Mytilus edulis: one gene and its partner. Each later gene encodes a partner of the first gene's protein in a complex. Links are inferred from orthologs where the notes say so. Each region holds a gene or a part of one and is shown in the gene's direction. Other genes may lie near its edges. The genes, in order: rab3 GTPase-activating protein non-catalytic subunit-like and rab3 GTPase-activating protein catalytic subunit-like.

Region 1 (17,350 bases):
ACGTTTTTTTTTTAATAATTAAATAATTAACGTTAAAAATATATGTAATTAACTTGATCTAAAACTTGACCTCGCTCATAATAGAGAATGTTAAAAATCAATCGTGTCGACTGCACGGGATTGTCCAACGGCGGGAAATACCCTGTAACTATAAACACAGGTGATGTTACTGACCGATTGTGGAATGTCAATTAAAGGGTTAAAGTGATGTGTAATGATTGACATTATTGTGCGCTTGAAAGTTGAGGCTCTAGTAGGTTCATTTCAATTGATAATCGAAAATCGAAAATCATTTTTTTTCAAATCAACGATGAAGTTTTGGATATTATGGAAGGGATTTTTTTAAGGACAACGGAGGTACCTTAAAAGTCAATAGGAAAATATACAAATAAAATAATATAAAACAATTTCGAAGGTCACAACTTGTATCTTATAAATCAATGATAAAGCGACTTCATCAGTATTAACAGTTATAAGATTGCAATCAGATGACTTTCAATTTTGTTTGTGTTTCAGGAGTGGGAGTGTATAAGATTACCTTATATTACAATGTTTGTTGATATTGCTTGACCCTTATGGGTGTAATTTTGCAATAAAGATTAAAAATATATATTTTGGATGTTCCATTCTCAGCATTGTTTCTGGTCTTGTCTGTTCGTTTGTTCGTTCGTCCGTCTGTCCCGCTTCAGGTTGAAGTTTTTGGTCGAGGTAGTGTTTGATGAAGTTGATATCCAATCAATTTTAAACTTAGTACACATGTTCACAATGATATGATCTTTCTAAATTTAATGCCAAATTAGAATTACCTCATTTCCTCAGTCCACTCAGGGACTTTCTATACTAATTAAAGATAGTCCTTGGTCTGTTAAACATAGAAAATGATAGTGCGGATTGGGCATCCGTGTATACTAGTGACACATTCTTTTTTTTAATTTATTAAACTTGTTCTCAGTGGCAGATCCAGATTTTTTTTTATATATAAGGAGAGGGGAGACTAACTGATAATGTCATGAGAGGACCAGCTCCAGTCATTCTCAAGTGATTCCCTATATAATCAATATTTATTTTCAACAAAAGGGGGCGGACACCGTGTCATTCCCCCTTTATAGCCGACTGAGAAACTCAAAGGGCTGTTTAGGCAGTCTATGTCGTCAAAAGCTTCTATGCGTTGTATAGCCAGTCATTGAGTCAGTGTCGTTAAAAACCTCCATGATATCAATCAATCAAATCAAGACTATTAAAAACTCTCATCAACGCCATTCCCCACTAAATCCGGCTCTGGTTCTATTAATTTCATTACTTCTTCAACATACTAGTATCGGGAGCATGTGAGTATGGTAGCACTCCGTAGATAGGTCTGTAGTTTTGCATGTATGACACTAACAGTTGGCCTAACGTATTAGAAGGCCAGTGTTGGAAGGTTATTCAACATTCTGTGGCTCAATTGTAACTATATTTTCTGTGAAGTGCTACCTAAGCCGTGGCCTGGTGAACCCTACCCATTTTTGTCAAAGGATTTTCCAATAGCACATCGAAACACTTCCAGCATTCTATATTTTTTTTCACCAAAAAAATTGTACCTCAGCATAATACAGGTCATGAGGTACATTTGTTTGAGGAGGGGGTTTCAATTACTGTTTAATTTCCTGTTACTACGAATTTTCGGGATTTTTTTTTCATCAGATTTGCCCTGTTGTCTTTTCTTTTAACTCCGTGTAAACCCTCACACGCGATGTTTACAGAATTATTTGTTTGTAAAATCAAATTTGTTGTATTACCTCTTTTATCAAAATAATATTTAGTTAGCTTTATTAGCGCCTTTTCAAAGTCCAAGCATTGAACATTGCAAACACATATAAATATTTTCAAATGAATTAGAAAATATCTTCCCAAATCGACAGAGAGATATTTGCCACTGGTCTTTACCCAGTTAACGATTCACTCTTAAATGCATTTCTCAAAAAACGATGGGAAACAGAAAAAACCAGACTATATCTTTTGGATAAACAGCCAAGGACATTTCCAGACATGAATATTACTGCATGGACCATCGCTTAAAAGTTTTGTGACAGAACAGACTTACAACTTTACTATAGTACATGTACAGTGCTTAGAACTCTCATAATTTTACTCCAGTTTACATAGTGCATTATTTTATGTTTTATGATAACAGAACTTTGTTTTATCAAGGTTTATCATAACTCGTATGGTTTTATGATAACTGATTTCTGAGGAATATGTTTAATAATGTAAACTTTATTTAAAGATACGTTTTTTCCAATTGGCGCTAAAGAAAAGCACCATATGAATATTCATGAACCTACAACGATTGCTCAAAATCGTGATTTAAAAATCCTGTTTGTGAGATGTAGATTCATTTTAATACCGAAATTTCGTCTATATATTAAGTTTCACAAGTGTATAACACGGAGAAGCTATCAGAAGGTACATTACTTCCATTTTGTTTGGGTGTGAACCATCGATGTTTACAGCAATATCAAAGAATAAGATGATGATGGTAGAAAGAACTATGGGCGTCATGTGGCAAATATTACATGCATATCGGACCATGAGTTGTCAATCTGTATGAAAAGATTTCCAATACAAACATATTATTGAGAAGGAATGTTAACATGCTCTCGTACTAGTATTACAGGGTTCTTGTGTCGTTCACCTTAGACACACATCTTTTTAACGATGTTTAGGATAAAAAAAAAGACAGAACCAATTTAATGTCATATATCCCTATTTTTTAATATAACTATAACAAGAATACCCCTATTAAGCGGACAAGCAGTTTATTCTTTTTTCTGTTATTGAATATTGAATACCAAGAAGGAAAGTAAATCCCGAAATTAATTTGAAACTTTGATACTCAATAGTTTTCCAGCAAAATATTCACAACCCTTGGGGATAATTAGTGATTGTCCAGTGGCATGTATAACATGCATGTCGGAACAGGAAATGTTGCATAATGTACTTTCAGAACCATGTTCACATCATTATAAATTATAGCCAACAATTGAGACGACAACTCCTTCCTTTGTTCGAGAACAATCTTGTTGAAATAGAAATCTGTGATTTTACTATGTCCATAACTTCGATGAACCCAAAGCAAGTTAAATATCGACCTGTATTTAATTCAAATAAGTTCTCTTCTTCTTCTTCGTCCATCGACATCCCATGATAACATACTCAGTCTGTTGTCATACGAGGACTAGTTTATTTACAGAACTTTTAACCCAAATAAACAAAATGTATGTTTCTTTCTTATGTTCAATGTAAAAATGTATATAATTTTGAATTGCAACTATCTATAGTTCCGTAACTTTCTATCAAGGCGTATTAAAGAATGGTCGAAAAGTGCGTATATTTTTGTTAAATCAATATTTCTTGTACGTTTCAAACTGTCCTTCACTTTTGAGAACGAGTACTTACATTTCCCCAAATTTACCCTTGGAAAAAATGTGAAAACAGATTTTTATTTTATCAAATCTTTTTTTTTTGAATTATTTAGATTTTTATAAATAATATTCTTTACAACAGAAATGTAATTTATAAACAAGCTTATGCGTTTAGTAATGACTAGTATATCGGACACGCAAGACAGAGATTTATACTATACACCTGATAGTTCAAAAGTTATCGGTCGTATACACTGATCAATACCCTTAGAAGTGAAGCGATGCATGAACTTGCAAGTCCGACAGGAAATCGCTTGAATACCTGAACGTGTCACCTCACAATACATTTGGGAGTAATACCTTTAGCCATGCTGGTGATCAGACAAGGGAAGGTACAAATTTATTTAAATAAGTTTATTACATAAAAGAATTATGAACAAATTAGATTTTCGAAAACAATTTTCACGGAACACTTATTTACGCTCATTTATGACTTTGAACTATGACTTTTTCACCAATTCCCATATAAACAGTTAAGTAGACAGAGACATCAATATCAGCCCAAGGGCCTTTAGGCCCGAGGGATGATATTGGTCGAGGGTGATACGGCATATGATACGGATTTTGCCATGTATTATTCTCTATATATTATACATATTATATATTATACATATAACAGTATTTTTAAAATTTTTTTTTCATATATATTATACATATAACAGTATTTTTTTTAATTTTTTTTCATACATATATCACTAAAATTCAAGCGACTATGAATTCACGAACACGTGGCTGTTGACACATTACACACAATATACTTAAAATACCTGGGTCAATTTACACTTCTGGTTTATTGTCCCTTTAACCAGCCAGTGTATCTGTGTGTGATGTATTTATCTACCGTGCAAGGGTTGTGCAGCCAGTCAAGGTCGTTAAATGTATCTCTAGCTCCATTGACAGACTCCCATAATATATTCGAAAGCGGATTCCGGATTTTGAAAAAAAAAAAAGAATGTGGAAGGACGTAAAGACAACATTACAAATTGGACTAGTGTACATGCAACATTCAATCTATTTCTTGTGTGACAGTTTACTGACTGTCAAACCCGTGTTCAATTTATTATTTTGATATGGTTCCATCATTCGAAAATAAGTTATTAAAATCTCAGTAGGCTAAAACAAACTACTGGATTTTACCCACAGAGTGCAACAAACACAGGTCACGGAAATGGTTTCTACTACTTCAAACTTTGGCAATCTAAAATAAAATCTAATCAGTCAATTTTACAGTATCACAATTTCATGTAACAGAAGAAGATAGTGCCTTGAAGATAGCTGAGTAAAATAAATATTTTTTTAAACAAGATATATGTAGGGAGCTCTATTTTTAACCAACCCGCGCATGAACAGATTCATTTTTTCTTGTATTTACTTCCTGAATGACACAACTCTAGAAATGTTTGCCACTGGACATCAATTTAAAAATTAAATAGAATCAGACAGTCAGGCTCGAGCAAAAAACCTTGAGAACGGAACTTTATAGCAAGATATATACTATAGTGTATACAGATTGTATTTGAACACATACGAGGGTCTTGAATATTGTCTTATAGTTGTAAGTAATTTTTCTGTAGTCTTCATATTTTCCCCCATTATTCTATATTCTTTGTTTTCTTGGTGTCTATTTTATTTACTTTTTTGGCCCTTTGTTGTGCACTTTTTGTCCATATATATTCTCTCTTCTTCTATATAAATCCTATTCAAACCCTTATAAACATACACAATCAAAATGTTCAACTCAAAACCCCAGTTGACTTGTCATCCATGGAGTTTTTCTCAACCGTTGAGAATATAACAAATGCTAAATGAGTCCGTTTAAAAAAAAGATGTGGTGTGATTGCCAATGAGAAAACTCTCGTTAAGAGACCATATGCCACAGAAATTAACAACTATACATGTAGGTCACCGTACGGCCTTCAACAACGAGCACAGCCCATACTGCATAGTCGGCTATAAAAGGAGAAAAAGTCTAGGAGTCCATTACTGATATTACATATATATATGATTAATGTATCACGTATACGTCTGATGCTTAGTTGTTGGCTCTGCTGGAAGGCAAAATATTTAGCTCTTTACTGACTAGTATTTAACAACTGAAACTAGATAAGTTATGAAAATCAAGGAATCTATACATGCTATAACAGCAAATTTAAACGGAACCAAAACGCAAATTAGTAAAATAATAAGTATACAACTAGCATTTCAGCATTTTAATATTGGTAATTATTAATGATTTAATGCGTAAATAAGTTATCCTACACAGTGGAACAAATGGGAAGCCAAAGTACGTTAATGTCTGGATTAATCTTCTGCAAAAACAATGTCATTTTGTTTATTTTATCTGGTTAAATCTTCTGACATCAGACTCGGACTTCTTTAGAACTGAACTTTAAATGTGCGTATTGTTATGCGTTTACTTTTCTACATTGGCTACTAGAGGTATAGGGGGAGGGTTGAGATCTCATAAACATGTTTAACCCCGCCGCATTTTCCCGCCTGTCCCAAGTCAGGAGCATCTGGCCTTTGTTAGTCTTGTATTATTTTAATTTTAGTCTCGTGTGTACAATTTGGAAATTAGTATGGCGTTCATTATCACTGAACTAGTATATATTTGTTTAGGGGCCAGCTGAAGGACACCTTCGGGTGCGGGAGTTTCTCGCTACATTGAAGACCTGTTGGTGACCTTCTGCTGCTGTTTTTCTATGGTCGGGTTGCTATCTCTTTGACACATTCCCCATTTCCATTTTCAATTTTATTTCAATAAACTGACTTAAATAAAATTTAAGCAAGTTAAACTGTAAGCTTGCCGCCGTTGATACCCCCGCCGAAATATTTCAGTTCACAGGAAGTTGTTGAGAAATGAATCTGAAAACGCACCACACGGTACAACTTACTTGCATCAACCCTGTAACCAAATTGATAGATACGAAAAAGATAGATACGAAAAAAATTTACTTAAATAAATGTTTACATGTAATGTATGACGTACTTAAAATCATCTTTGTGTAAAGAAACGTTTGAATTGGCTGATCTTTTTGTAAAGCATGCTATTTTGACGGTTACGGATTCAGACTCATTAAAGATGCAAACGATGCAAACGGCTATGCTCGCACATGTTTTGATCATTTCTTTCAAACACATACGTTTGCAAAGTTTACATAAACTTTGACAAACTATGCAAACGCTAAAAATGCGTCTGCAGTTTGTCGTTTGTTAGTACAAACGCTGCATTTTTTTCTAACTTCAACCTGATTAAACGAAGTATTTGTTTCTACGTTTGTAAAAAAGTCTGATTACTAACAACATGTGCATGCATTATTGAAAATTCAAACAGGGTCATTAAAGATTTATCAAACGATGTATTTGTTTCTACTCGTGTAGAAAACAGTAACACACGCGACACAACGTTTACAAAATTCTTGTTAGAAAGAAATGCGGCCTAAGAAAAATCTTGTTACAATCACAAGAAGTCTTGATAGGTCGTAAAATAAACTTCCCATCACTTTATTCTTTTCACATGTCAATTTAAATAAAAAAATTCGCAACGATGTCATAATTGAAAGCACGAGGAAGGCTGGCCAAAATGTTCAACTTGCGGCTAGTGATTGACAGGTATGATTATATCTTGGGGCTCTTGTGGGGAGCGTGGTGTCGGACGGAAAAAAGATTTCCAGTATTCATATATATATAAATGTCGATCTAATGTGGAAAATTGTGAGGTTTTTTTTAATAGCACAAAGAAAAAGACGTTAGAAGAGTAACAATGTGTAACTATAAACGAATTACTCGTTTATAATCTACGAGACTGATCAGATCGAAGTTTGATAAAAAAAAAAAAAAAAAAAAAAAAAAAAGCATTCAATATCAAACCTTCTTGGTTGGAGAAAACATGTTCAATGTATACCTGCAAATATGTCTTAATAAATTATATTGTGTATTTAAATTATCTCCATTGAATACAATACAATTTATTAAATGTATCTATGATATCCTCCATAAATAAATATCTGAACAGGTAAAGTTAAATTCGGATCAACAGATTGATTTACGACCTTCCGCTTGTCCATGTTGTATTGCAAAAATATCACAGCACTGCAGGTATTGCTCACATTAGACAAGTGTCAAATCAGTATGACATAATGTCGGATTACGGCATCTGCAGTAATTAAGAGTCTGTTTTTACAGGAACTGATTTATCTTAACATGACAATAAAGAAGAATTTTGTAAGGTGAACATATTTGTAGTATTGCAAAGTTACCACGTGCATTTTCCTGTTCATTGGTCACATTTAAATAGATTATTCTTTATTGAACTAAATTCGATATTTAAATTGCAAGTAACTTTAATATCAAAACCACCGCTTTTTATTTCTCGACTGAAAAGGGTAATAAGACGGTTATTTTTATCTGACTATAAACAGTGTATATAATCACAACGATCTATTAATATCCGTTGCTCACAGATAACGGATTATACAACGATCTATTAATAACCATCGCTCACGCATCACTGGTTCTATCACTGACTCAATACACACCAGTTTAATCGGACAAACGGATAATTCCCTGAGACACGCGGATAATTCCCTGAGACACGGAAAATCTCCGGAGAACCGCAAAATATTCTGTAAAACAGAAAATTTACGATGAACCTCTATTTATTCTCCGTTCCGCGTAGATTTGCCAAAAATCGCGGTCATTTGCCAAATAGGTCTACCAGTGTATATAACCATGTATATGGCAAGCCAAAGTGGACAAAAAGAGCTATTTTTTAATATTAGAAAATGATTTTTTAATATTAGAAAATAAAATCATTTTAATATTAGAAAATGATTTTTTAATATTAGAAAATGATTTTCTAATATTAAAAAATCATTTTCTAATATTAAAAAAATAGCTAGAAAAAATCATTTTCTAATATTAAAAAATAGCTCTTTGTGGCAAGCCAAAGTGGACAAAAAGAGCTATTTTTTAATAATAAAAAAATCATTTTCTAATATTAAAAAATCATTTTCTAATATTAGAAAATAGCTCTTTTTGTCCACTTTGGCTTGCCATACATGTGAATGTGTTTGTGCTAATAAATAGTGTCTGTTGTCTATATAAATATATTAAAGTTTGTCATGTCAATGAGTTAAGGTTATGATAACTGTCACAGTAAATGTTGATACTGATAGAAATTTTGGTTTCTGAATAGTTTAAAATTTGTGTGTGTGTCTCCTCCAATAGAAATTTTAAACTGACCTAAAATCAAATCTCTTAAAAAAATATTAACCTTTTATCAATGCATGAGTAATTCTTGGATTAATGTCTAGTTGTGACAGTTGTTCTGACATTTACTGACAGTATTTTAGAAAATACCAAACTCAACATTTCCCGCCAAAACCATATTTAACTTCCGTTTCCGTTTCGGAACGTAAACATTGATTTTCATTTGAGACTTTTAAAACGATAGAAATACAAACCATGTCATGCCAGCTCTCTGTATTTGCTCATTTCCAAGAAGTCTCATCACTAAGAGAATATCTCTTTCCCTGCTTAAAAGATGAATCGACACAGAAAAGTAACAGTGGTGGTGAGACTGTTTTGTAAAATAAAGGGGGGTGGGGTACATAATCGAGACTGTTTTGTAAAAAGTGTGTGGGGGGGGGGGGGGGGGGGGCTACATTCGTAGGTCACCTCGGGTCCATTTGCCCATAGACGGTTCGTCCTGTTCGACTACATTTTAAATAAGAAAATACGTTCGTGTAATTAAAATCGTATAAAATTTATGAGAGAAGAAAAAAAAAATCATTTTAGATTTATGTCTAGTAATCTGACTGACCAAGGATTGGTATAGTATTTTTATGGTTTAGGAAGTAATCTGTAGGTTTGTACATACAACCCGTTCTGGCTACATCAGTTCTATGTAAATATTGTAAGTAAGGTAACCGGGGCCAATATATGTTGAGTAAGCTTAGATAAGACAGAATGTCAACATTCTGTTAATTGCTGGTATGCCTTCCTACAACATTGAAGGAAGGCTTCTGAAAAATAATTTCTCATAATAATTTGTTCTTCATGTCGAGCTGATTGGCGTCAATGTATTTCTTGCCATTAGTCTGCCAATTCCTGCTATTGACCCTGCAATCAGAGATCCCAATAAGCTGTCTCCCTTAAACGCAGACTAAAAATGTTCCAAATCACCAGTAATAAAATTGCCATTCCATAGGATGACATTCAACATTTTGTCCAAATTGAAAGCAAGGCAAACACAACTAGTGAGTGCTTCAAGGAAAAACTCACCAGAGAAATTCTCCTTGAAAATTACCCATACCTACATGCATAATTCATAATTTTTTTTTATCTTATTATCTATTATGAAAATAACAATCTTTTAATTCAAACTAAGAAAAAAAACCACATCAAACAATTTACTTACTTACTTATAGTTACTTATAGTTGATTTCCAGTACAGGATCCCTCAAGGTTCCTCTTCACCAGACTCGTAACTTAATGTGTTTCTTATACTATTTTGACCGTGACTTCCGGATATTTCTGCTCTATAGTCATTATAGTATAATTCTTCGTCTAACCAATATTTGTCTAGTCGATTTTTGAATGAATTTATCGATGGTGACTTTGTTATTTTATCTGGTAGTTTGTTCCAGGTTTTAGCAATTCTAACAGAGAAAGAGTGTTTACGGATATTAGATTGGAATCTTTGATGAACTACTTTATTACTGTTGGTCCTACTACTACATCTTTGTTGAGAATCTTCTGCCTTTCTTAAAAATGAGCTAACTTCTTTGTCGTAGTGTCCGTTCATTGTTTTGAAGGTTTCGATCATGTCTCCTCTTATTCTCCTATAGGATAATGTAGGTAAGCCTAGTTTTTTTAGTCTCTCTGGGTAGCTCATGTCTTTTAGCCCTGGTAGTTGTTTTGTTACCCTTCTTTGAACACCTTCTATTTTGTCTATATCTTTCTTTTTGTATGGGGACCAGACTGAGCTGGCATAGTCTAGGTGTGTTCTAACCATGGTTTTGTATAGTGGCATGAATGTCTCTATTCCCAGGTATTTAAATGTTCTTCTAAGAACTGCGAATATGGAGTTTGCTTTGTTCACTTTTTCACTAATGTGGTTTTCAAATGTGAGTTCTGCATCAATGAGGACTCCAATATCTTTTTCCTCTTTAACTTGTGCTATAGGATGATTTAGTAGGTTATAGATTGGTGGATGGTCAGTGCTATTAGATTTCTTACTTATTTTCATATATTTACATTTTTCTGGGTGAAATTTTAGTAGCCATTTGTCACTCCAGGATTCCATCTTATTAAGATCTTCTTGTAAAATTTGTCTGTCATTTTGTGTTTTAATTATTCTGAAGATCTTAGGCCAGGATTTTTTAATTTGTTGGTTTACGGATCCGCCGACCCGATTTTTCCGATTTCCAGAATAAAAATAAAATTGACTTTTCATGCTTTTTTATTCCCGCCGACCCTAGCAAATGCATTATCCCTGAAAAATAATTAAATAATTTTTTTTTATGAAATGAAATGCATTAATCACTAACAAAATTGATAACACTTTCTGTTGTGAAAAAATAAAACTTCCAGTTTACGTTTCTAAAAATAGACAAATCAATTATAACTGACCTTGAAATGTCGTTTGCGCAAATAATATTGCGGAACGAAACTTGTTTTTAAAACCAATTACACAATAAGTTCGTTTCCCTTATTTGTCATCAGTCCGTAAGATCATCATCTCATAGAAATAGACTTGTCCAAATGTGGACAGGGTAAAGGCATCAAGTTGAAGTACTGAATATTAACAAATCATTTGGAATTTTCTTGTTTCATAGATAATGAAAAAATTATCGTCCATTTGGATAAAAAACGGGAATGCGAGACAACAGATTAACCCGATAATCTCGTTTTCCAGTGGACGAGTCTATTAGGTTTTTAACACGTGTGTTGAAACTTATTTTCGTACGACGTTTTTACATTTTTTTCTTTATCAGTTTTCGTGCTTGAAGATCATTATTCACCAAGTTTTCAGGAATTGATAAAGAGCTACGCGAATTTATTTTTCTTGTTTCTGATATGACGATTTAATTTCGTCTTTGTCCGTGCACCCCCCTTTTTTTTACTGTAATTTATTGGACAATGTCATGCGATGTTTATAACATTTGAGCAATAATATTTCATCGAACTAAAATTTAAGAAATGATGATAAAATAGCATAACAAACATATTGTTAGAAAGGTGAAATATATATTGATTTTGCATATTTTTCTGTCTTCAAAGATGATTTTTTTTCTTCTTTTTTTTCCCGACCGACCGACCCGACTTTTTCATTGGGAAAATCCGTAAACCATCAAATTAAAAAACCGTGGCCTTAGTGTCATCTGCAAATAGGTATGCATCAGAATCTACTTGGTCTGGGAGATCATTTATATATAAAACAAATAGTAGTGGTCCTAATACTGATCCTTGGGGTATCCCAGATGTAACGTTAGCCCAGTCTGACTCTTCACCATTCACTACGACTTTTTGTTTCCTATCTTCTAAAAAGCTTAAATTTACTTTCACATCTTGATTCCATTGATCTAATTATATATAATTTCTAACCAAAACTAATGGGGATATGGTATGATGGTCAGATGACAACTATCCAAAAGCCCAAAGGACAATGAATGAGGTTCCTGAACATGATTACGTGTTTAGCATAACCAAGGATATTAATACTTTTGAAATATTTTTCCTGGCTGCAAACCTTCAAGGTCCCTTTCAATAATTTTTAATTACAATATTTATTATTTATAATATATTGTAGCATCGATATCATGATTATACAACACAACAAACAAATAAAACAAAGAAGAATATTATTTATGGGTAAATGGATGTGGGCGTAAAAGATACAGTAAATGGGCAAACTGACCACAGTTCCCAAGACGAACAAGTAAAATCTCATTCCTACTTGTCATAGAATTGATAAAACTTAGGAAAATGATATGTTTTACATTTCACAGAAACATATATAGATTATGTTTTCTTATTGGAGTAAAATGTCAAAGTTGTTGATAAGAAAGGTTTTAGGAAAGGCCCCTATAATATAAATACATTAATTTGCTATCTTTGTGTCAACGGTTTTACCTTTACATTGTTCTCTAGTCATTTACAAATTTATGTTAAGAAAGTATTGAAACCATAATGTTATATGTTTGTAGGAAATGATGCCTGGACTGAGGATTGGAGTTGGAATGAAGATGAACCGATGGAACAAGATGACTCAGACTCATCTCAGTCAACCGAGGAGAATAAACACAACTGGCTACAGGATTGTCTCATATCCATCTCACCTGCTAATGATCTCATGGCTGTGGCATATGGTGACAAACTTGTCCTGCTCTCACGTATGTAGGCTTTACTTAAAATAAAATTTTGAACCATAAACTATATGCTTAGAAAATAGATTTTTTTTAAAGTGAATATGAGCCATAAAAAAGTGTTACATACAATTTATCGCATTACAAAGTATTTGTAAAGTAATTTGAAATTCAAAGTTGCACTACTTAATTTATTTTTGCACAGCTTTTGATAAACTAAGCTACAATTCAATTTACATGTACATGTATACATCATCAGTGACTTTATAGTTTGCTAAAACCCTTCCTGTTTTCATTTACTTTTGTAGTAACTTTTTCTTCATGACTTTAATATATTTAACAGAAAAATGGGATCCTGGTGACACAGAATCAGAGACCAAGTTTTCTATGAAGTATAAAGAAAGTTTGAAACAAGATGAAGGGTATGTATTAATTGTTCATTATCACTGAACTAGTATATACATGTATTTGTTTAGGGGCCAGATGAAGGACGCCTTCCGGGTGCAGGAATTTCTTGCTACATTGAAGACCTGTTGGTCACCTTTTGCTGCTGTTTTTTCTATGGTCGGGTTGTTGTCTCTTTGACACATTTCCCATTTCCATTCTCAATTTTATTAGAATAGATCATGTGATTTTGCCCTTCATCATGTTATCAAAGAGGTTAAAAAGAATCGAAGGCCGTAGAAAAAGCTTAATTATGGTTGTTAATAGTAAGGCATAGAGGTGGAAATAGTTACTGTATATATTATATTGGTTAAGACTAAGTGATTATGTGTGTAAAATACTTTTTAGTTTGGGTTATGTTTATTATTCATATGTTTACATAGAGAATAATACATGGCAAAATCCGTATCATATGTCGTATCATCCCGAGACATCAATATCAGCCCAAGGGCCTTTAGGCCCGAGGGATGATATTGGTCGAGGGTGATACGGCATGTGATACGGATTTTGCCATGTATTATACACTTTATCATATATTTCAACAGAAGAGTATTATATTATATGAACTGTTTTCTGATCCATAGCACTGGGTTACCTTCAGTTCTACTTTTGTCTTGTTTCGAAGGCCTTAAAAGAACTGCTCAATTACTTATCCGAAGCACTTGGGTTACCTTACAATTTGCGTGCTGTTGTTTTTAAAATATTTTGTTTATTATTGTATTAATTTGTGTGCTTTGTATTTTTCATAGTTGCATTTTCGTGACGTCACATACAATATGAAAACTCGATGTTCGTGACGTCACATACCAAACAATGACGTCATTCAAAAAATTTATCTATTTTGAGGAAAATTTTTCTTAAGCCAAAAAAAAAACCAAACTGACTTTATGTAAAAAAAAAAAAAAAAAAAAAAAAAAAATTAGGGGTGTGATAAAGGGTAGGGGTGTGATAAAGGGTATGCGATAAAGGGTGCGCATCAAAGTTGCGCGATATGGATTAAACAGCAGGCTATTCATCACATATGCAAAACTACTGTATTTACTACTAAACATATGATAAAATGGTTTAATGACTTGATTTTGTCATGCAGTAGGACTATTTTGTTTTATATTTTTATTATAGGGAAACCATAACAGCTGTTTTGTGTCTGCCATTAGCCTCTCAGAAAAGGTAATGAAAACTGTCTTTGCCTTAGTTAGAATATTATAATACATTTTATGATTATATAGATATAATTACTGGATGAGATCTGAATTAAAGTATTTAGTACAATGTATTAAAAAAATGTAGATTCTTCAACATGTTAATCTGCTTTTAGTTTACACACCACATAAAAATAGACTTAATTATTTTTTTTGTTAGTTACATTTATAAACATGGGTAATTTCTAATTTCTTTATTATTTGTAGAAGTACACAGGGTGCTCCAGACTGGACATGTATTATTGTAGGATTTTCCACTGGGTACATCAGGATTTATACTGAGGTAAAATTGGGGTATTGATTTCTGTGTTGTTGGATCTTTTTGGTACTTGTATCTAAAACAAATTATAGCAATGCCTGCCAACTGAAAAACTTGACTAAAAGCATTTTAGATAAACAATAGGGTATGATCGTCGAATCACCCAAAACTTTTGAAGTTGCACATAGGAAGTAGTGCTCATTAGGAATTCTTATGTAATTTGTTATCGCCTGTGCTTTTGGCTAAGATGTCAAAAAACAATTGTACGAAATATTTAATCGCCGAAAATAGGGTATGCTACAATTTTTCTTGCATATATAAACAATGTAAAACAAGGATTTAAAAGAAATAAGCTCTCCAATGAGTTTATTTGACTGGGCTTTCTAATCATAGGTTTTCTTCTAGTTCTCAAATAAATTACATTTATATAATTATTTTTATGCAGTTAATCTGCATTATGCGAGCACCCTAGATTTGTGGTCTACCCAATAAATGCTGAAATACTTGCCATTGTTATTATCTAGCTGGCTACTATGTTATATATAACTAATTGAACACTTTTTTAATACTTTTAATTCTGGATTACAAAAAATATGACTAGAAAAACCTTAAATGATCGTCGAATCACCCAAAACTTTTGAAGTTGCACATAGGAAGTAGTGCTCATTAGGAATTCTTATGTAATTTATTATCGCCTGTGCTTTTGGCTAAGATGTCAAAAAAACTGTTCATGCTGTTGGCGGCAATTTCAAATTAGAAGACGAAATTCGTATCTTTTCAATTTGGAGCCGCAGGGGTTCAAATTAGCGGTGGTCCGAGGTCCGCGACCTTCCACTTTCGACTTGGTTACTAGCCACGCCTGACGAGTCTTCCACTCTGAGACAACTATATCACAGTTATAGTACTCTCAGTTCGACTTGAAAGAAAATAAAAAATAGCTTTGCAAACCTTTTCGCCAAAGTCTCCAAATAAACGATCTCAAAACTTATTTTAATCATTATTATTCATGACAGCGATGTCAATTTTGTTCAATCGCTAGCTATATACAGAAAATCACCGACAAAAAATGTGTTAATACGAGTAAAATCGTATCTGACTGACAAAAACAACATTGAACACAATATGACAATGGCTGCCGTGAAAAAGACAATTACAATTTCGGATCCGATTCCGGAAGCGGATAAGGGTAATTCCGGGTTTTTAGCGAATCCAGACAGTTGACAAAATACATCTATGCATGGTAAATGAATATAAACACTAGAATTGAAAACCAAACAGACTATTTATTGTTCTCAGAATCACCGAAATATTACAAATCTGACAAACATGAGAGAGTAAAATAGAAAAGAAATATTATTAGTACTAAGCAACTAATATGTTAACTTATTTTTAGCTCAAAGAAATTGATATATGTAAAAGAAAGAAAAAGCAGAAAATATTTTAAACAGAAACTCAAAATTACTTTTGACAAATTTTAATGTCAAAATCCAATACAATGTGACAGCTGGGAACAGTATATCTAACAATATATATGTTCCTGGTCACAGTATAAATTTTCTTTATCAGTGATAAATGTTGATAATGCATGTAAGATGCTTTTAAAGTGTAAACATATTACTGCAATTTTGAAGGGGTATTTTTTTTTCTCAATTTTGAAGGGTCAGTTAAAGTAGCTGGAAGATTCTTACCTTATTTTCACAAATAACTACCTGAGTCCTGAGTGTAGGCAAATCATATGATATATAGGTGGCGTACTTTGGGCCACTCTACCCCCTCCTGTTTGATAACTTTGAAACGGATGAGATCCCCACCTCTCAACCATATACATTCATGTATGGGACTATATATATAACTAATCAAATGAAATATAAGGGGAGTCCATGGGGTGACCACCACCTCCTGTTTGGGAACTTACGAAACGGTCGCCTGAGATCCCCACCCCTAAACAATATATATTCATGTATGGGTCAATATAACTAATTAAATGAAATATAGGGGGAGTCCCCCTACCCCCTCCTGTTTGAGAACTTGGAAACCGATGAGATCCCCACCCCTAAACCATATATATTCATGTATGGGACAATATAACAAATCAAATGAAATATAGGGGAAGTCCCTGGGGTCAACCTACTCCTTCCTGTTTGAGAACTTGAAAACCCTCAAGATCCCCACCCTAAACCATATATATTCATGTATGGAACAATATAACAAATCAAATGAAATATAGGGGAAGTCCCTGGGGTCAACCTACTCCTTCCTGTTTGAGAACTTGAAAACCCTCGAGATCCCCACCCCTAAAACCATATATATTCATGTATGGGACAATATAACAAATCATTTACATTTACTATGGGCAGGTCAGTCAGACCTCACCTTTGATCCTTGTAGTAGTGAACATTTGTCTGATTTGTGTCGCATAACTATTGTATTATAGAATACATACTCAGTTTTCTTTACAGGGAAACCAGTCTATTCATACTATTACATGTTCGTACTAAGTCAACACGTACTACTAACAGTCAACTAAAACCAACGTTAACTACCAACAAGAACAACTACAATCATTGCGAACTTGTACCACTGCAGACTCACCATAAAAAATATACATTT
Region 2 (16,906 bases), on another chromosome or scaffold:
CTAGAGGTACGTATATCAAAAGAAAAATCCTGATCATGCAGTGGAAAATTTAATGATACAATTAAAATCACAAAATACAAATTTAGAAAAATAACAATTTCAATGTTATTTGAATTTTGGAATAAGTCTTACCTTTTGCTAAGTATATGACTACAGTTAAGTAACATATGCATACAATGTACGGCGATACCTCCTATCAACAGTATACCAAATGTTCCAACCTGAAGATGAAATATAAACAGTTAATACACTATGTAACAAGAATGTAAGCAATATTTTATTTAAAATCAGTTCACCAATGAAAGTGAAGATAACTAAATCATAACTATGTGCCGATATAGTGCAGCCTTATACTCAATGATATTTTTCTGCTTTTCATTTTGAAGATAATAGCAAAACTGACAATTTACAACCAAGGTCAAGTTGGAATAAAAGAGGGACAAAAGATACCAAAGGGACAGTCAAACTCATAAATCTAAAATAAACTACATGACAACGCCATGGCTAAAAATGAAAAAGACAAACAAACAAACAATAGTACACATGACACAACATAGAAAACTAAAAAATAAACAACACGAACCCCACCAAAAACTAGGGGTGATCTCAGGTGCTCCGGAAAGGGTAAGCAGATCCTGCTCCACATGTGTCACCCGTTGTGTTGCTTATGTGATAACAAATCCGGTAAATAGTCTAATTAGGTAGGTCACATTCATGAAAGGGAAGGGGGTTGTAGTTACGACGTAAAGAACATATCCGATATCATTTGTGAAACGGTTATTCCATAACGGTCAACCAACTCGTGATGGCGTCCGTAAAATTTAGGAAGGGATGATTTCAACTTCACCATTTGGAACTCTTCATGCTCTTGGTTTAATAGCTTCCTTGTGAGCAGCAACCCTCTATCGAGAAAATCATGATAAGAAATACAAGCACGTGAATATCGTATCAATTGGGAGATATATACCCCGTATGCAGGTGCTGCTGGAATGTTGCTACTTAGAAATGGAAAATTCACAATTGGAAAGCTGAAATCATCTCTTTTGTCGTAAAGTTTTGTTTTCAACCGACCCTTATTGTCAATTTCTAAATGTGACATAAAACAAATAACGAAACTAAAACGAAGTCACTAAGAGCAGAAAATAGCTAACAACTAAGAACAAATCAGTGAGACGTGATTCGTCTCATTTTATTGTATTTTCTTTTCCTTTCGTTATCGTTAGTAGCAGTCTCTTATAATTATTTCCTATCAAAAGTTAATAACAAAGAATCTCACCCATAATCCAGCATTATTGACTGCATTGGGCATAGCTAGTATCCCTGTACCTACATTCCCTTTAACAAGATGCATCAGACTTGTAATGTTGCTGAAACAAGAATTGTTGGACTGTATTACAAAGAATGTGGACACCCTCCTCCAATATGAATAGAATTACAGGTCAACCAATCAAACTTATTTCAATAATTGTCTCAGTTTCTTTTATGTTTTCTTATATTTTTTGTCAAGAAATAGTTATCAAAGGTACCAGGATTATAATTTCATACGCCAGACGCGCGTTTCGTCTACATAAGACTCATCAGTGACGATCAGATCAAAATACATGTAGTTATAATGCCAAACAAGTACAAAGTTGAAGAGCATTGAGGACCCAACATTCCAAAAAGTTATACGGCTAAGGTAATTTATTCCTGGGGTAAGAAAATCCTTAGTTTTTCAAACAATTCATAGTTATTTAACAGGAAATTTATAAAAATGATCATATGTTTGATATTCATGTCAACACCGAAGTGCTGACTACTGGGTTGGTGATACCCTCGGGAACAAAATGTCCACCAGCAGTGGCATCGACCCAGTGGTGTAAATAGTTATCAAAGGTACCAGAAGAAACATTTATTATAGGTCTTTTGTCTAAAAACAACTATGTAACGAGATCATTTGATAAATTTTGTTAAAATAATGCTTATCATTGTTAAATTATGTAATCTACATACTAGTATACAATATGTGAGTATAGCAAATACAAAATATAATGCTTTAGTTCCTAACATAACATAAAGATGTGTTTCCTGAAAAATCTAGTTATGAAAAACCAAATGTAAAAAAAATATTTATACCGTAGTTTGACACACCAAAATCACGTTGACGTGTGTATACAGTGTTTAAAAAATATGGAAAAGGGGAAAGAATACAATGGGAGCAAATAAACGCTACAACTGGAAGGAGAGGGACAAGGCCATGACTATGCAAAAATAAAACAGACGATAAAATGAGCAAAATAAAAGAAAATCAGACAATACCATGGCCAAGCCTAAAGAAATACAGACAGTGCCATGACTAGGTCAAAAGAAAACGGACCAAGTCAAAAGAAAAACAGACAATACTATGACCGAGCCAAAAGAAAAACACAAAAAAAAACATGACCAAGCAAAAGCAAACACAGACAATACCATGACCAAACCAAAGGGAAAACCCGACAATACTATATGACTATGTCAACAGAAAAAGACAATACCATGACCAAACCAAAAGAAAAGAAAAGAAAAACAGAAAATACTATGAACCAGTCAAAAGAAAAACAGACAATACCATGACAATGGACAATTCCAAAAGAAAACCAGATAATACCATGACAATAGACAATGCCTAAAGAAAAACAGACAATACCATGACAATAGACAATGCCTAAAGAAAAACAGACAATACCATGACCAAGCCGTAAGAAAAACAGACAAAACCATAACCAAGCCAAAATAAAAACGGACAATACCATTACCAAGGCGAATTAAAAACAGAAAAATACCATGACCTACCCAAAAGAAATGAGACAATATAATGAGCCAGCCAAAAGAAAAACATACAATATCATAACCGAACCATCTGAAAGTTCTAAGTTCAGTATTTTTGTGATTTTACTTTTTAGTTTTTACATACAATACAAAGACAAAGCGAAAGAAAAACAGACTTCACCATGACAAAGCCAAATGAAAAGACATACAATACCATGACAAATGAAAGAAAAAATACAGAATATACCATGACAAATTCAAATTCTAAAGAAAAAGAGACATTACCATGACCAAGTCGAAAGAAAAACAGACACAGCCATGACCATGCCAAAAAGATAAACAGCATTAACATGACCAAGCCAAAGGAAAACAGACAATATCATGATAAAGTCAAAAGAAAAATAGACTATACCATGACAAATTAAAAAGAAAAAAGAAAAACAGACATTGACATTACAAAGCCAAAAGAAATCGAACAATAACATGACCATGCGAAAAGAAAAACAGATATACCATTACCAAGCCAAAAGAAGAAACAGACAATGCCATGACCAAATCCAAAAGATAAACAACAAAAAGGCAAAAAAAAAACTACACAGGAAACGAAAGATTGGGCAACAGATACCCCACCAGGGGGATAAATGTTGCAGAATGTTGGGGATTTTTCACATCAATATTTTTGAAATCTCAAAACAGTGTGTAAAGTATCGTGGTTCTGGAAAATAATAAATTATCTTATCATTGCATATCTATATTTGTGTACTCACCTCACTTTAAGACTTTTGGCTGTGTCATCTTCAAATGTGAGGGTATTTTGACTCTGTGGTACATACTCGTAACGATCACTTGTCTCTATCTCAGCCGATGAAGTAACGGATAGTGTCTTATCGTCTATAGTTGTTTCTTGCACTGTATGTAATAAACTCCTCTTCTCTCCCGAATCTCCCATATCACAAGATGCTAGATTGCAGTCTAATTATTACAATAATATTTTAGTTTGTGTTGTGTAGTATCATACATATGATTTTTGAAAAAAATACATTACCTGAAATACATTTCATATGTATAGTATGTACATTTAAGACCTTGCCTGGCTATTGAAAATTTCTCAAGATAGTTTCCGTCCATAAACTAGAGGCTCTCAAGAGCCTGTATCGCTCACCTGATTCTACTTGGGTTTTTGAAATCATATAAAAAAATATAAAATTTGGCTAAAAGTGACAACACAACCTCATTTAAATAAGGAAAGGAACATGTTTAATTTCATTCAAAAGTCCCCCACTGGTGGCCATCTTGGATGACGGATCGGCTACAAAGTAACAACACTTGGTCAGCACCTCATAAGGAACATTCATGCCATGTTTGGTTTTATTCCATTCAGTGGTTCTCTAAAAGAAGTCATTTGTATGCATTTCCCATAGGGTCCTATGTTAAACTAAGTCCCCTGCTGGCGGCCATCTTGGATGATGGATCGGCTACAAAGTAACAACACTTAGTCAGCACCTCATAAGGAACATTCATGCAATGTTTGGTTTTATTCCATTCAGTGGTTCTCTAAAAGAAGTCATTTGTATGCATTTCCCATAGGGTCCTATGTTAAACTAAGTCCCCCGCTGGCGGCAATCTTGGATAATGGATCGGCTACAAAGTAACAACACTTGGTCAGCACCACATTAGGAACATTCATGCCATGTTCGATTTCATTCCATTCAGTGGTTCTCTAAAAGAAGTCATGTGTATGCATTTCCCATAGGGTCCTATGTTAAACTAAGTCCCACGCTGGCGGCCATCTTGGATGATGGATCAGCTACAAAGTAACAACACTTGGTCAGCACCACATAAGGAACATTCATGCCATGTTTGGTTTCATTCCATTCAGTGGTTCACTAGAAGAAGTCATTTGTATGCATTTCCCATAGGGTCCTATGTTAAACTAAGTCCCCCGCTGGCGGCCGTCTTGGATGATGGATCAGCTATAAAGTAACAACACTTGGTCAGCATCCCATAAGGAACATTCATGCTATGTTTGGTTTTATTCCATTCAGTGGTTCTCTAAAAGAAGTCATTTGTATGCATTTTCCATAGGGTCCTATGTTAAACTAAGTCCCCGGCTGGCATCCATCTTGGATGATGGATCAGCAATAAAGTAACAACACTTGGTCAGCACCTCATAAGGAACATTCATGCCATGTTTGGTTTCATTCCATTCAGTTGTTCTCTAAAAGAAGTCATTTGTATGCATTTCCCATAGGGTCCTATGTTAAACTAAGTCCCCCGCTGGCGGCAATCTTGGATGATGGATCGGCTACAAAGTAACAACACTTGGTCAACACCCCATAAGGAACATTCATGCTATGTTTGGTTTTATTCCATTCAGTGGTTCTCTAAAAGAAGTCATTTGTATGCATTTCCCATAGGGTCCTATGTTAAACTAAGTCCCCTGCTGGCGGCCATCTTTGATAATGGATCGGCTACAAAGTAACAACACTTGGTCAGCACCACATAAGGAACATTCATGCCATGTTTGGTTTCATTCCATTCAGTGGTTCACTAGAAGAAGTCATTTGTATGCATTTCCAATAGGGTCCTATGTTAAACTAAGTCCCCGCTGGTGGCCATCTTGGATAATGGATCGGCTACAAAGTAACAACACTTGGTCAGCACTCCATAAGGAACATTCATGCTATGTTTGGTTTCATTCCATTTAGTGGTTCTCTAGAAGAAGTCATTTGTATGCATTTCCCATAGGGTCCTATGTTAAACTAAGTCCCCCGCTGGCGGCCATCTTGGATGATGGATCGGCTACAAAGTAACAACACTTGGTCAGCACCCCATAAGGATAATTCATGCTATGTTTGGTTTTATTCCATTCAGTGGTTCTCTAAAAGAAGTCATTTGTATGCATTTCCCATAGGGTCCTATGTTAAACTAAGTCCCCGGCTGGCGGCCATCTTGAATGATGGATCGGCAACAAAGTAACAACACTTGGTCAGCACCTCATAAGGAACATTCATGCCATGTTTGGTTTCATTCCATTCAATGGTTCTCTAAAAGAAGTCATTTGTATGCATTTCCCATAGCGTCCTATGTTAAACTAAGTTCCCCGCTGGCGGCTATCTTGGATGATGGATCGGTTACAAAGTAACAACACTTGGTCAGCACCTCATAAGGAACATTCATGCTATGTTTGGTTCCATTCCATTCAGTGGTTCTCTAGAAGAAGTTCAAAATATAAATTGTTAACGACGACGACGACGACGGACGACGGACGACGGACGCCAAGTGGTGAGAAAAGCTCACTTGGCCCTTCGGGCCAGGTGAGCTAAAAAAGACTTCGATTCTGAGTATATTCCCTTGATGGGAACGTATGATCTTTCTGTTATGTCTTGATTTCTAAGATTTATCTCTTTAAAGTAGCGGTTTTGGTTTGATTTAATTGCAATCGAAGGATTGAGTATTTGGTTAAGAAAATCTTCTAACACAAAGATTTTGTAAAAGTAATTTGTTCTTTTATTAATCAGCTTAACCATAGATAACTAAGCATCTCCTGCTATGCATGCATCGACCATCATTTGATTCCAAAAAGTCATTCAAACCTGCTGAGGTGTTTTACGTTATCCTTTGAACCAATAATCTTATATTTATTGACTAATTTACTAGTGTTCACATTGTTTGTTTTATCATTACATCCTATATTTTTATTTATATACTTTTTGCACTAATATATCATGTGTATGTTTCTTTGAATGCTTATATATGACGTTTTTAGAGGAAATATTTTCACATGTACAGAAATCGGAATCAAAATTTAAGAAGACATGGTTTCATTGATAACAAATGAAATAAGCTTGCTTTCAGTATTTAGTAAACATTCGTTATTATTATACTTTCTGTTAAAATTCCATATTTTCATTGTCAACCTTGGCTTCGCTTTTGACAATGTTTTTTCGGGGTACCAATTTGCTCTATCACTCTCTCAGTACATACCTCTCAGCTATGTGTTATTTATATAATATGACATGTGTAATTTACATTTCAGTCGTGGGGGTTTTTTTTGTTTTTTTTTATTGTTTAAATATGTACAACTCGTCTAAACATCAACCCAACAATGTTAGATCTGTACGAAAGCAAATGTTTGATTCTTCCCTCGCCGGGATTCGAACCCATGCTACTGTTATATCGTGACACCAAATCGCCTGCACTGCAGCCGTCCCGGTAGACCACACGACCACCTGGGCTCTCAAAAAAAGAGCTTTCGCTGGCCGTGTGTTACCTTTCCTCGTCAATTTTAATCTAGCGGCGTACTACAGTACATGATATATAAGGCATGAAGATGTTATTGTTACAGATCAGCTAAATTATCTATAGTAAATGATCCTACAAATTAATGTAATATACAGTCACAGAAAATAATTATATTTATAAGTACGTCTGAGTCAGTGACAACTCTACAACAGATGTATCCATCGGATCGCCATCAATGATGGCGATACATGGCTGTGTACATAATGTATATACAACTCGTCTAAACATCATATTTTTTTGGCAATACCAATTAACTGGTTTCACGGTCAAGTATATAAAATTGACACGGTCTATTTTTGTTAACTTTTATCATTCGGTCATTTTATCCCGTATTTCTATATTTAAACAGAAACGGGGACACAGACATGACAGAATAAGAATATGACTCTGCTGAATTCAAAATAGAACAATGTGTATGATGGAATTCAGAGTGTTTGATATGAGTTGCGTCTGATAGAAATCGACATTAAGCTAATGCAAATGTTTTTGTTTGTGATCTAGCTGAAGCCCAAATCCGGATGCGAGATTTTCTCGCTGTGTTGCAGAGCTGCTGTTGACGACCTTTTGGTGGCCTTGTGCAGTTTTCTGCTCTGTGGTCGGTTTGTTGTCTCTTAGACATTCAAATACGAATTAAATGATCAATGATGGTCTGTTTCGTAGGGTTCTTATAACAACTGAATTTTCAAATAGTTACAAACTTTAATTCCAAATAGATTTTTTAATAACCCGAAATAGGCATTCATAACAATTATAATTTCATTTGCCTATGATCGATTTATGTCCGACGCAGCTCACATTTTAAAAGAGGTTATGAATAACCAAACAGATAGGGAAATGAAAATAAACGTCAATAGCTGTGTCCAATTAAAATGTACTTCTGGTTCGTTCATTCGCCCTATTTTATGAAATATCGTTTATTTGCCTTACTTTCTGAAATAGCATACTTACAAAGTTTAGTAAACTATCCTATATATATATATGTCCACATGACTGTTACGTCAGTCATAACGGATAATGACTGATAATGAGATTTGATATCTATCAGCGTATTATACATTTTGTATCACTACCAATATAAGGTTGATAACACCTGAAATCTTTTCCTTAAGTATTGGAATTTACAAACAACACATTTAATTGTTTAAGAAAGATGACCACTTTCCCGATAAGCAATGGTTATACTTTGTTAACTACGTATCATGTTTTTAATAATAAAAAAACAAGGATTTTGTTGTATCTTGAGTATTTGGTAAGGTTTCACTATCAAACTGTTGGGGACAATGAACTATGTAAACATTAAAGTACATGTGCACTAGAGAGCAGACAAAGCAGGCATAGCATTAAACCGGCCTATTTAAGTTAAAATTAACACAGTTGCACCTCGGACGTGCGCATAGTGATAAATATAAAATAATCCCTATATCAAATGTAGTGCATGCCTTTTTTTTTTATAGTACTGTTCTATAAATCCGAGAAAGCTTAACCTTGACCACTATAAGTCTGTGACAACTAAGGGTAGGTGTTTTGGACACTTTCTAACCATATATGCGTGTATGCAATACCTTTTTCACTTTTGCAGTTCGCTCACATCGAATTATTTCTTGGCAAAAACATATTAAGATTATTTTTTTTTCCAGCAACATCTACTTTTTTGTTGTTGTAGCATTATTTTTTATTCCTAACCAAAGGCCGTAGTTTTGAATTTAAAAATGTGAGGCGAAATTATGTTATATCACTGGACCTGAATGAATAAACGTGATGAAAAAGGATGAACATATTTGAAAGGAGGGAAATATTTCAATTTTTATAGAATTTGCTAATTTCCATATGTATTACCTCAGCTATATCTGTGTATTCCTTACCTTCGTCTTTAAATATTAATCGCGAGATTTTTTTGTTTTAGAAAATTAGAGAAATACAGTTCTCCTGAAATGCAAGCATTGTTTCATACTTGAAACTGACTTAAAATTAAGATGAGGTTGTAAACCCGTTGAATCAAACTAACTTCCTGATAGCAGAATATGATAATTCTTTATTTGCAAAACAAACAAAAAACAATTTTGGCATCACAAATACATAGACAAAAACAAACATAGAAAACTATAATGAAAACAGTAAGTGTAATTGAGGATGTGATCATTAATGAAACAAATGAATGTGAAGTAAAGTTCTGTGACTATTTTAAACGTGGACAGGAATAAATTGTATGATTAAAACCATACTCTTAACCTTAACAAATTTATTCTCAAGTATTTCTTATACATCATTAGCATTCATTTTTTAAAAATTTTTATTTCGAGCTTTATAATAAAAAAAAATACGTTAGACGCAAGATTTTTTGTAGAGATAGTTGTACACAGATCTCTGATTCCAGGGAGTTCTCCATACTGAGACTATAAAAAAAAAATCCAAATCAAATAGATATATTGTTTTAACTTAAAACATTAATCAAACAGACCTAGAAAAGTCTAATTGCACAAGGTCTTCGATCTATTTATATTTATGTTTATGTTAATATCAGGTGAAGTGAATATCGTCAGATTAAGGAGGTCATCTCGATAGTTAATTCGAATTTCCGTCAAATCGGTGATCATGATTTTGACAGCTAGTGCCCCTTTAATAGTTAAGCATAGAATACAATTGTACGGAGTTGCAACTGTTCAGTGTGACTATAGTATGACAGTGTCATACTATATTCAATCTGCCATATCGAAATAATTAAACAGTTTATATAACAAACCATTGATTAAATGAATAGGCTTGAAAAATACAAAATAATATTCCAAATAAGTGACAAATACAATTAACGGATTACAGAATAATTAACACTTGTAACACACATTTTCTGTCAGATAATAAAGTAAGATCATAAAAAAAAGTTTGGTGGTGCTAGATTTCGGTTAAAAGAAGGATAATAATTATAACACAGCAAATGACTCAGATGATTAAAACTAAAAAATTATAATTAAATTACTAAAAATATTGTGTATCTTGAGACGGTCCCGATTGCAAGAAGACCGGAAATTTACCTACAGTTATTTCCCTTTGATAAAGAAACGTCAACAAGAAGAAAGAATGGCATCAGATGAAGTTTGTATTGTTTTCTTTTAGTTGTGTTTATGGTTCAAATATGCATTATTTAAACGAAGTTGCTTTGCAATGATATTAAAGGAGTTGTTTTAATCGCTGATTTTTAAAGACATCTGTTTATGCCACGATCTCAGTTATGATCTGTCAATTTTCATCAGTCCATTAAAATTCTTATTTCACTTTAGATGTAATTCAAACTGAAAAAGATTTCCCATATTTCAAGTGTATTTACTTTCAGTATTTTGATTTAATTTAGAAATAATTTTATTCTGCTAGGCATTGTATAATTTCTATAGGCTATTGGTTGCAGACACTTCATCTGTTCATTTTTTGGCATCAAATGTTTTTTAATTGTTTAGCTTTGATCTAGTCCAAATAATTATGACGTCTTGAAAGGCTATTATAATTTTTTTCTTTGACGCCTTACTTCGCAAAATATGCTCTCGAAGTCCAACCGAAAATGGCGGCTTCAGCATTATGACGTCGAAGTAAGGCGTCAAAGAAAAAAATTATAATAGCCTTTCAAGACGTCATAATTATTTGGACTAGCTTTGATCATGACATAAGCCACTCATGTACAGCATGTACATAGTAACAAAATTATGTTAGAGCCAGTTAGCAAAAAGTTAACCTCTATACATCATTGTTCATGTCTTAGTCAGTTGTTTTAATATGCATAAGTTTACAGGGTTATCTTGTAATGAGATTTCGAAACACCAATACATGTTTTTTTTATTATTAATTAGTTACACCCGTTGACATAGGCGGATCCATGGGGGGCCCCCCTTTCGTGGGAAAAATTTGGTTGATTATATAGGAAATCACTGAAGCATGACTGGAGTGGCCCCCCCTTACATTGTAGGTCAGTCAGCGGGCCCCCCCTTATGAAAAGTTCTGGATCCGCCACTGGTTGACCTGGTGTGAATCAGCTTAAACAGGGTCATTGAATAATTGGTTCTAACTTCTAACCTAATACCATAATCAATTATGACATGTCCTGATTGCTTCAAAGGCAAATTGTAATTGTTTATTTGTTTTGTTATAAAATCATTCCATCTGGAGGCCTTATTTGACTTCTGGTGCTGGGAGGTTAAGGAATGATCTGAATCATAAAATATGATGATTAAAAATATTCAACCATTTCCAACAACCGGATTAAAGGGCTTATCACAAATGTATGTATGCACCTTATTAATCCCTTTTGTTACCCTATAATAATTAAAGTTGATTGCATGTGATCAAGTCTAGGTTTGATGAACAACATTAGGACCTAAGTTTTCTCGTTTGAATTGTTTAACATTTTTCAGTTTGTGACCTGTTATAGCTGACTATTGAAACCAGTATTGAGAACTATAGTTCCTAATTTCTATGCCAATTGGTCTCTTGTCTTGTCATGCTTGTCTTGGAACTCTTGGCAATCATACCACATCTTTTTATTTTCATAATGACATAGATTTTAGCAACTATAGGTCACTATAAGGCAAGTTTAAATGTTGCAATGAGCAGAAGCCTAACTGCTTATATATTTCTATCAAGCTACATGTAAAAAAATCTGACATGATTAAATGTAAAACAAGTCAAACACGAAAACAATTGTTACATAAGGTAAATAATCCAATAATTTCATAATGTATCGTCACTATAAACATGTAAATAGCCTTGTCAACCTTGACAAGACAAGAACCAATATTTGTAAGACAGTTTCCATACATTTTAAGTCAAAGTGTTGACTTCTAAAGATAAATCATTGGATCTACATTTTGTATATTCTATAAGATGAAATGGGTTTGTTCAAGATATAATTAATTTTTAAATGATTTTCTCCAAATGTCTCTTTAGCATATGTTGTTATACATCTCCAGTGAGTTGTCACTACTTTTATATTTCTCTGGATAAATACTAAATAGATAGGTTGATATATTTATTAAATTATATTTAAGGTGGTACCTAACTTAAATTTATTTGACTCGTTTAATTTTCATAAAATTTTGACAAAGTATTTACTTTGACCCTTTGACAAAAGTATAAAAAAAAATCAAAAAATTTGAACCAACCATTTTATCAGAAAAATTACACTGGTTATATAGCAGTTTGACAAACACTTTTTTTAATCATTGAGATGCTTAATATTCCCTTAACAACACAACGTAATTAAAACGTTTAACTGATTTTATAGAGTTATCTCCCTGTAGTGTTAGGTACCACCTTAAACTTAATTTTTGTCTAATTTCATATAAATTTTGTCAGTAATCTCTGAAATGTTTAAAATCTATTATACTACCGGTACATGTACATGTACATGAATACATACATTTGTACTTATTATACCTTACGTATATTTCAAACAATTCTATTGGGTGAAACGTAATCACGTGACATGGAATAATTCAGTTAATTTTCATTCAATTGAAGGAAGGACGAATAACCCTAAAGAATTTACACCAGCGGTGAATAACCCTATTATTCACCGGTGAATAACCTTTTGAGTTTGTTTATTTGTACTTGAGTTACCTCCCATAAAAATGACGTCACAAACGTAAATAAACAAAATGGCAGCGTTCACGTTACACTGGAAGCCCATCGAGAGACGAGGAAATACGGCATTGGACATAGAGCTGAGAGTGGCAGCAGCCGATGATGTCTCTTATAAACGGTCCTTTTCAGGGCCATCAATATTTTACAAAAAAATTCTACTTTTGTTGTATATATTCGAGAAAATCAAACACAAATGTATTTTCAAACGTCAGTCTGTGTTCGAAATGCACTTCCACTGTTAGTTCGGCTGCGCCCTCAATGAAATAACCTTCTCGTGTTGACAATTTTGGATATTCACCTCTTCAACGGGCCATAATTGTATAATGTACTAGAACACACCCGTGATATCGCGAGTCCGTGACTGAATTAAAGTATATAACTTTGCGCAAGCCTTATTTTAGTATTAGTATTGTCATCTGATAAAGTCACGCCGATTATAAGATGCACAGTTTTCTCTGTTTTCAAATCTTTCTGTTTGAACCCGTCGAACTGGAACTTATCAATTATTGGTAATACGTCATGCCCGCTAACAAATTGAAAACTATACGCCTTATTTTTAGTCCAGATGTTTAGTATTCGTATTGTTATCTTAGAAAGTCTTACTGATTAAAATACTACAATTTAGTAGTGTCAATCCTGTGATTATGACCCGTGTATATAGCATATTAATCCTGAATACACCGTTTGGTGGTGCGCCTGTCAGATGCGGAACGTACAGATAAGGTAATAGGTAACAGGTGAATATACTATTGGTATCGGTATTGGACTCGATCCGGAACTTCTTAATTATTGGCAATATTAATTACGTGGAAAACAAAAGGGCTTGGAGTGGTGTAATTTTTAATCTACACCTTTGTACTATATTAGTTATATATAAAGTTGAATTCTTTGATTCGTCGTTTTTACGTGATGACGGCTGACAAATTGGACCTCGTAATTTTAGTATTATAGATATATCACAGTTTTTGAATTTTTATATTGAGAATAGATGATTTAAAAATAAAGTTACCAACTTAAATATTGACTTCACAACTTTACTCTATACAAAAAAAAAAAAATTTAAATTATTTTGACCTGTGCCCAAAACAGGGAAGCAGATGTAGTAATTCAACCTTTTGAAATAATTCAAAGGACCTAATTTGGTAGAAATTTTTCTTCAAAATTTTTTAACATCTGGTTCTTTTTAAGGAAATGTTGTCCATTTCAATATATATAGCAAAAATTGGTAATATTGAAAACAAAATACTGTATCAGCAGGATCAGAAATAATTTTATCAAGATATTTTTTATTTTTTTTATCATTCCTGAGTTTCCTTGTACCAAGGATTTTTTATGACCTCCTTTTTTGTACTATTATAAATGCATGATGTTTAACTATGATGATCATATAACACAATTTGATTGGTACTAAGATTAACAGCTTTGTGGAACTTTAGACTGAAGAGGATTTATACAGTTAGTTTAGTGTCTAGTATTGAGTTTCATCTGTCTCCATTTATACCTTGCAAAATCCTTGGTATTGTCTAACATTAAACTATTTCCCTGACGTCAGTTTTATAATTTTAGCTGTAGGTTATTTTTCAAGAATCAAATCAATTCATAATGTTACACTATTGTTTCACTTGACTCCAATCTTAATTGACTAGTATTGTCAGTTTTTCAATCTAAGGTCTCTGGGGTTTTTTTTCAGCCACTCCGGCTTCCTCCACCAATTATAACTGGCCGCTTCATAATAGCCTTAAAGGGGTGCTTATAAGTGGCGTTAAGACACAGAAAATCATATCAAATCTTATATTTATATAATACCACTTGACTTGATAACAACTGTTGACAGGCCTTGAAAGTGTTTCTGGTGGCTGCAAAGTCTGTGTTGTCTTCATTCAAGTCATATTTTACATTATGACATACAGTATTAGTCTGAAGTTTTTCTTTTGGGAGATATGGGTGTAAATTGGAGGTCCATTTTTTTCCTGATAAATTTATTCACAACTTGTATACTCTTTTGTTAAAAGACAGTTTACAGCTTCACATAGTGTATAGGCACCTCTTTATTGTTGAATAGTGAATGTTGTCCTGTAGATATCTAATGATCATTTTGTTGTTGTTGGGTTGCTGTCTCATTGATTTATACTCCTCATCGCCTTTTATTCCTGTCTATGTTTTCAATACATATGATTTGTATTTTTGATGATCAATTGTTGTAGAACCTTCACCGTATAATCAGATAACTCATTGTTTTGTTTTTCACAGTCAGAACAAAATATAATGACATGATAATACGTTTTGATGTCAGTGCCATGTCATATGTTTATAGAAGTCCTATTTTCCTGTGGAGGATCTTAGGTTTAATGGATGATATCCTGGTTAACACCTTCAATCAATAATTCTCTTGTTAATTTGTCTATCACAATCACTGACAGTGTATTGATTAGTTCAGGTCTGTATGCTAGTGTTACAGTTACACTATTCCCGACAGATGGCTTTTAATAACGTTCTCATATTTGTTATTGTCCTCTTGTTCCTACTGTTCTCTGCAATGTTTACACATTTATTAGAGTGTTGGAATGGGGTTTTGATATCCAGCAAAATCATATTGCTTTTTTGACAGATTCTATATTGTTTACATTGATATACAAAATGTAGTTTTATTGAAGTTATCATAGAAATAATTTTTAATTAGAAATTACCAACAATTATATGGAATAAAACTAAACATAAGTTTGAAATAAATACCTTTATATACAAGTTTATTCAAAAGAACAATAAGTGTCAATTTACAGTTTTCAAATGTACACTGTGACATTCATGTTTTTTTTGTAAAACAGAAAATATTTGAAAAAAATCATAAATCTAAATTTTTTAATGTTCCTCATTGTCAAGACATAAAAATAATGCCTGGAGATTATGTCAACGTTTCTGTGGTCACTGATCTTTGCTTTTTATCTGTAGGCAATAAGTCAACAACATTATAAAATTTAACACATCATAAAGAAATAAATTGACAGCCTTTTAAACTTTTAAAATAATTGTATTCCCTGGTCCAATCATTTAAAAACATTCAATACCTTATAAGACTTCTCAATGATGGTAAATTCATCAAAGAATTTTCTTTTTTAATCATATCTAATTGCTGCAATAAGCTGGTAGGGACACCAAATTTAGTTTCACTTTGTATTTTCATTTTCAAAATTTTTGTCATGTTTGTATACCTGATAAAAAAATTATGACAGCTTAAATATTTTTTTAAAACTTTGTTTTATACATGTTTCAGTAAATACATGCCAGTGTTATTTATATTTCACTTCAAAACTCAAAAGAAATTTTGAATTACAAAAAAATTACGTCAAGAATTTCCCAAATTTATTAGTTTTACAAGGTTCTTATAATTAAATTATCACTTTTCTAATAGTTTTATATGACTTTGCTTTCAATGTGGGCAGTTTTAAAATTTATTGTCTTCTGCAGCCTCCAACAGTGAGCAAACCCAGACTACTATTTAACTTAGCAAGCTATAAAATGCCCTGAAATGACATATGTAAAACAAATGAAACAAATAACTAACAGCTTTATTATGTACATGTAAGTCAAGTTTTTAAAAGTTGCTTTCCAATACATTGTAGTTGTAATTTTGTCTTTGTAATTTAAGTTGCACAGTCATAGTGTCCGCGTTAATGATGTTTGGACCCAGTAGTGGATCGAGAGGGGGGTTCCGGGGGTTGGAACCCCCCTTTTTTTGGACGATCAATGCATTTGAATGGGGACATAAAGTTGGAACCCCCCCCTTTTATCCTGGTTTGGGAACCCCCTCTTTTTAAAATGGCTGGATCCGCCCCTGGGACCAATCAGAATGTCCAATCTAGCAATGTTCCCATGAAGCAACACAATTTCTGATGGGTTCAATTCACAGTTTTGATTGATTGTTGGTTGCTTTGAACATCCAGTGACACAGTTTTGATTGATTGATGGTGGCTTAACATCCAGTGACACAGTTTGGAAAAGCCTTTTGTAAAATATCAGCCAGCCATTTTGATAGGTTGAGTAAAAGCAGTTGAAATAAAGTTTTGTCATTAATAAATAATAATGTGATCACCCATCCAATCCAATGTTTAACATTTCTAAATTGTGGAGGTCTATTAAAGATTTAGCATTGTTCAGATTTCTTTTATGTAATATTAAATGAGTATATATT

What was found.
Region 2: the proteins of rab3 GTPase-activating protein non-catalytic subunit-like (region 1) and rab3 GTPase-activating protein catalytic subunit-like are in contact, whole or in part, in a cryo-EM structure (PDB 8VYB), measured with the Homo sapiens proteins. The link is inferred for Mytilus edulis from reciprocal best matches to the Homo sapiens genes RAB3GAP2 and RAB3GAP1. Residues at the interface, in NP_036546.2 of Homo sapiens: Arg197, His198, Pro199, Gly200, Ser276, Pro277, Phe278, Asp279, Met281, Lys282, Ser285, Asn286, Ile287, Gly289, Phe290, Asn291, Ala292, Ile294, Arg377, Phe378, Gly379, Leu380, Pro381, Asp382, Arg385, Cys395, Thr397, Leu398, Arg407, Arg415; in NP_036365.1 of Homo sapiens: Thr19, Ser21, Trp23, Glu24, Glu142, Ser143, Asn146, Leu147, Leu149, Ser150, Ser153, Ile154, Ile169, His170, Trp173, Arg174, Met176, Arg187, Asp189, Glu191, Met192, Val193, His194, Leu195, Arg196, Pro199, Tyr202, Ile211, Ser214, Lys215.

What each region holds. Positions count from the first base shown.
Region 1 is NC_092346.1:83,354,682-83,372,031, reverse strand, and holds the start of rab3 GTPase-activating protein non-catalytic subunit-like, read left to right. Parts: upstream 1-8,854; 5' UTR 8,855-8,930; coding exon 8,931-9,039; intron 9,040-12,676; coding exon 12,677-12,862; intron 12,863-13,178; coding exon 13,179-13,257; intron 13,258-14,401; coding exon 14,402-14,449; intron 14,450-14,688; coding exon 14,689-14,764; intron 14,765-17,350. Other genes in the region: DNA repair protein XRCC3-like, read right to left, coding at 8,740-8,800. UniProt on the Homo sapiens protein: Regulatory subunit of the Rab3 GTPase-activating (Rab3GAP) complex composed of RAB3GAP1 and RAB3GAP2, which has GTPase-activating protein (GAP) activity towards various Rab3 subfamily members (RAB3A, RAB3B, RAB3C and RAB3D), RAB5A and RAB43, and guanine nucleotide exchange factor (GEF) activity towards RAB18.
Region 2 is NC_092351.1:29,045,792-29,062,697, reverse strand, and holds the start of rab3 GTPase-activating protein catalytic subunit-like, read left to right. Parts: upstream 1-10,116; 5' UTR 10,117-10,167; coding exon 10,168-10,182; intron 10,183-16,906. Other genes in the region: neutral amino acid uniporter 4-like, read right to left, coding at 133-221, 1,277-1,367, 3,555-3,736. UniProt on the Homo sapiens protein: Catalytic subunit of the Rab3 GTPase-activating (Rab3GAP) complex composed of RAB3GAP1 and RAB3GAP2, which has GTPase-activating protein (GAP) activity towards various Rab3 subfamily members (RAB3A, RAB3B, RAB3C and RAB3D), RAB5A and RAB43, and guanine nucleotide exchange factor (GEF) activity towards RAB18.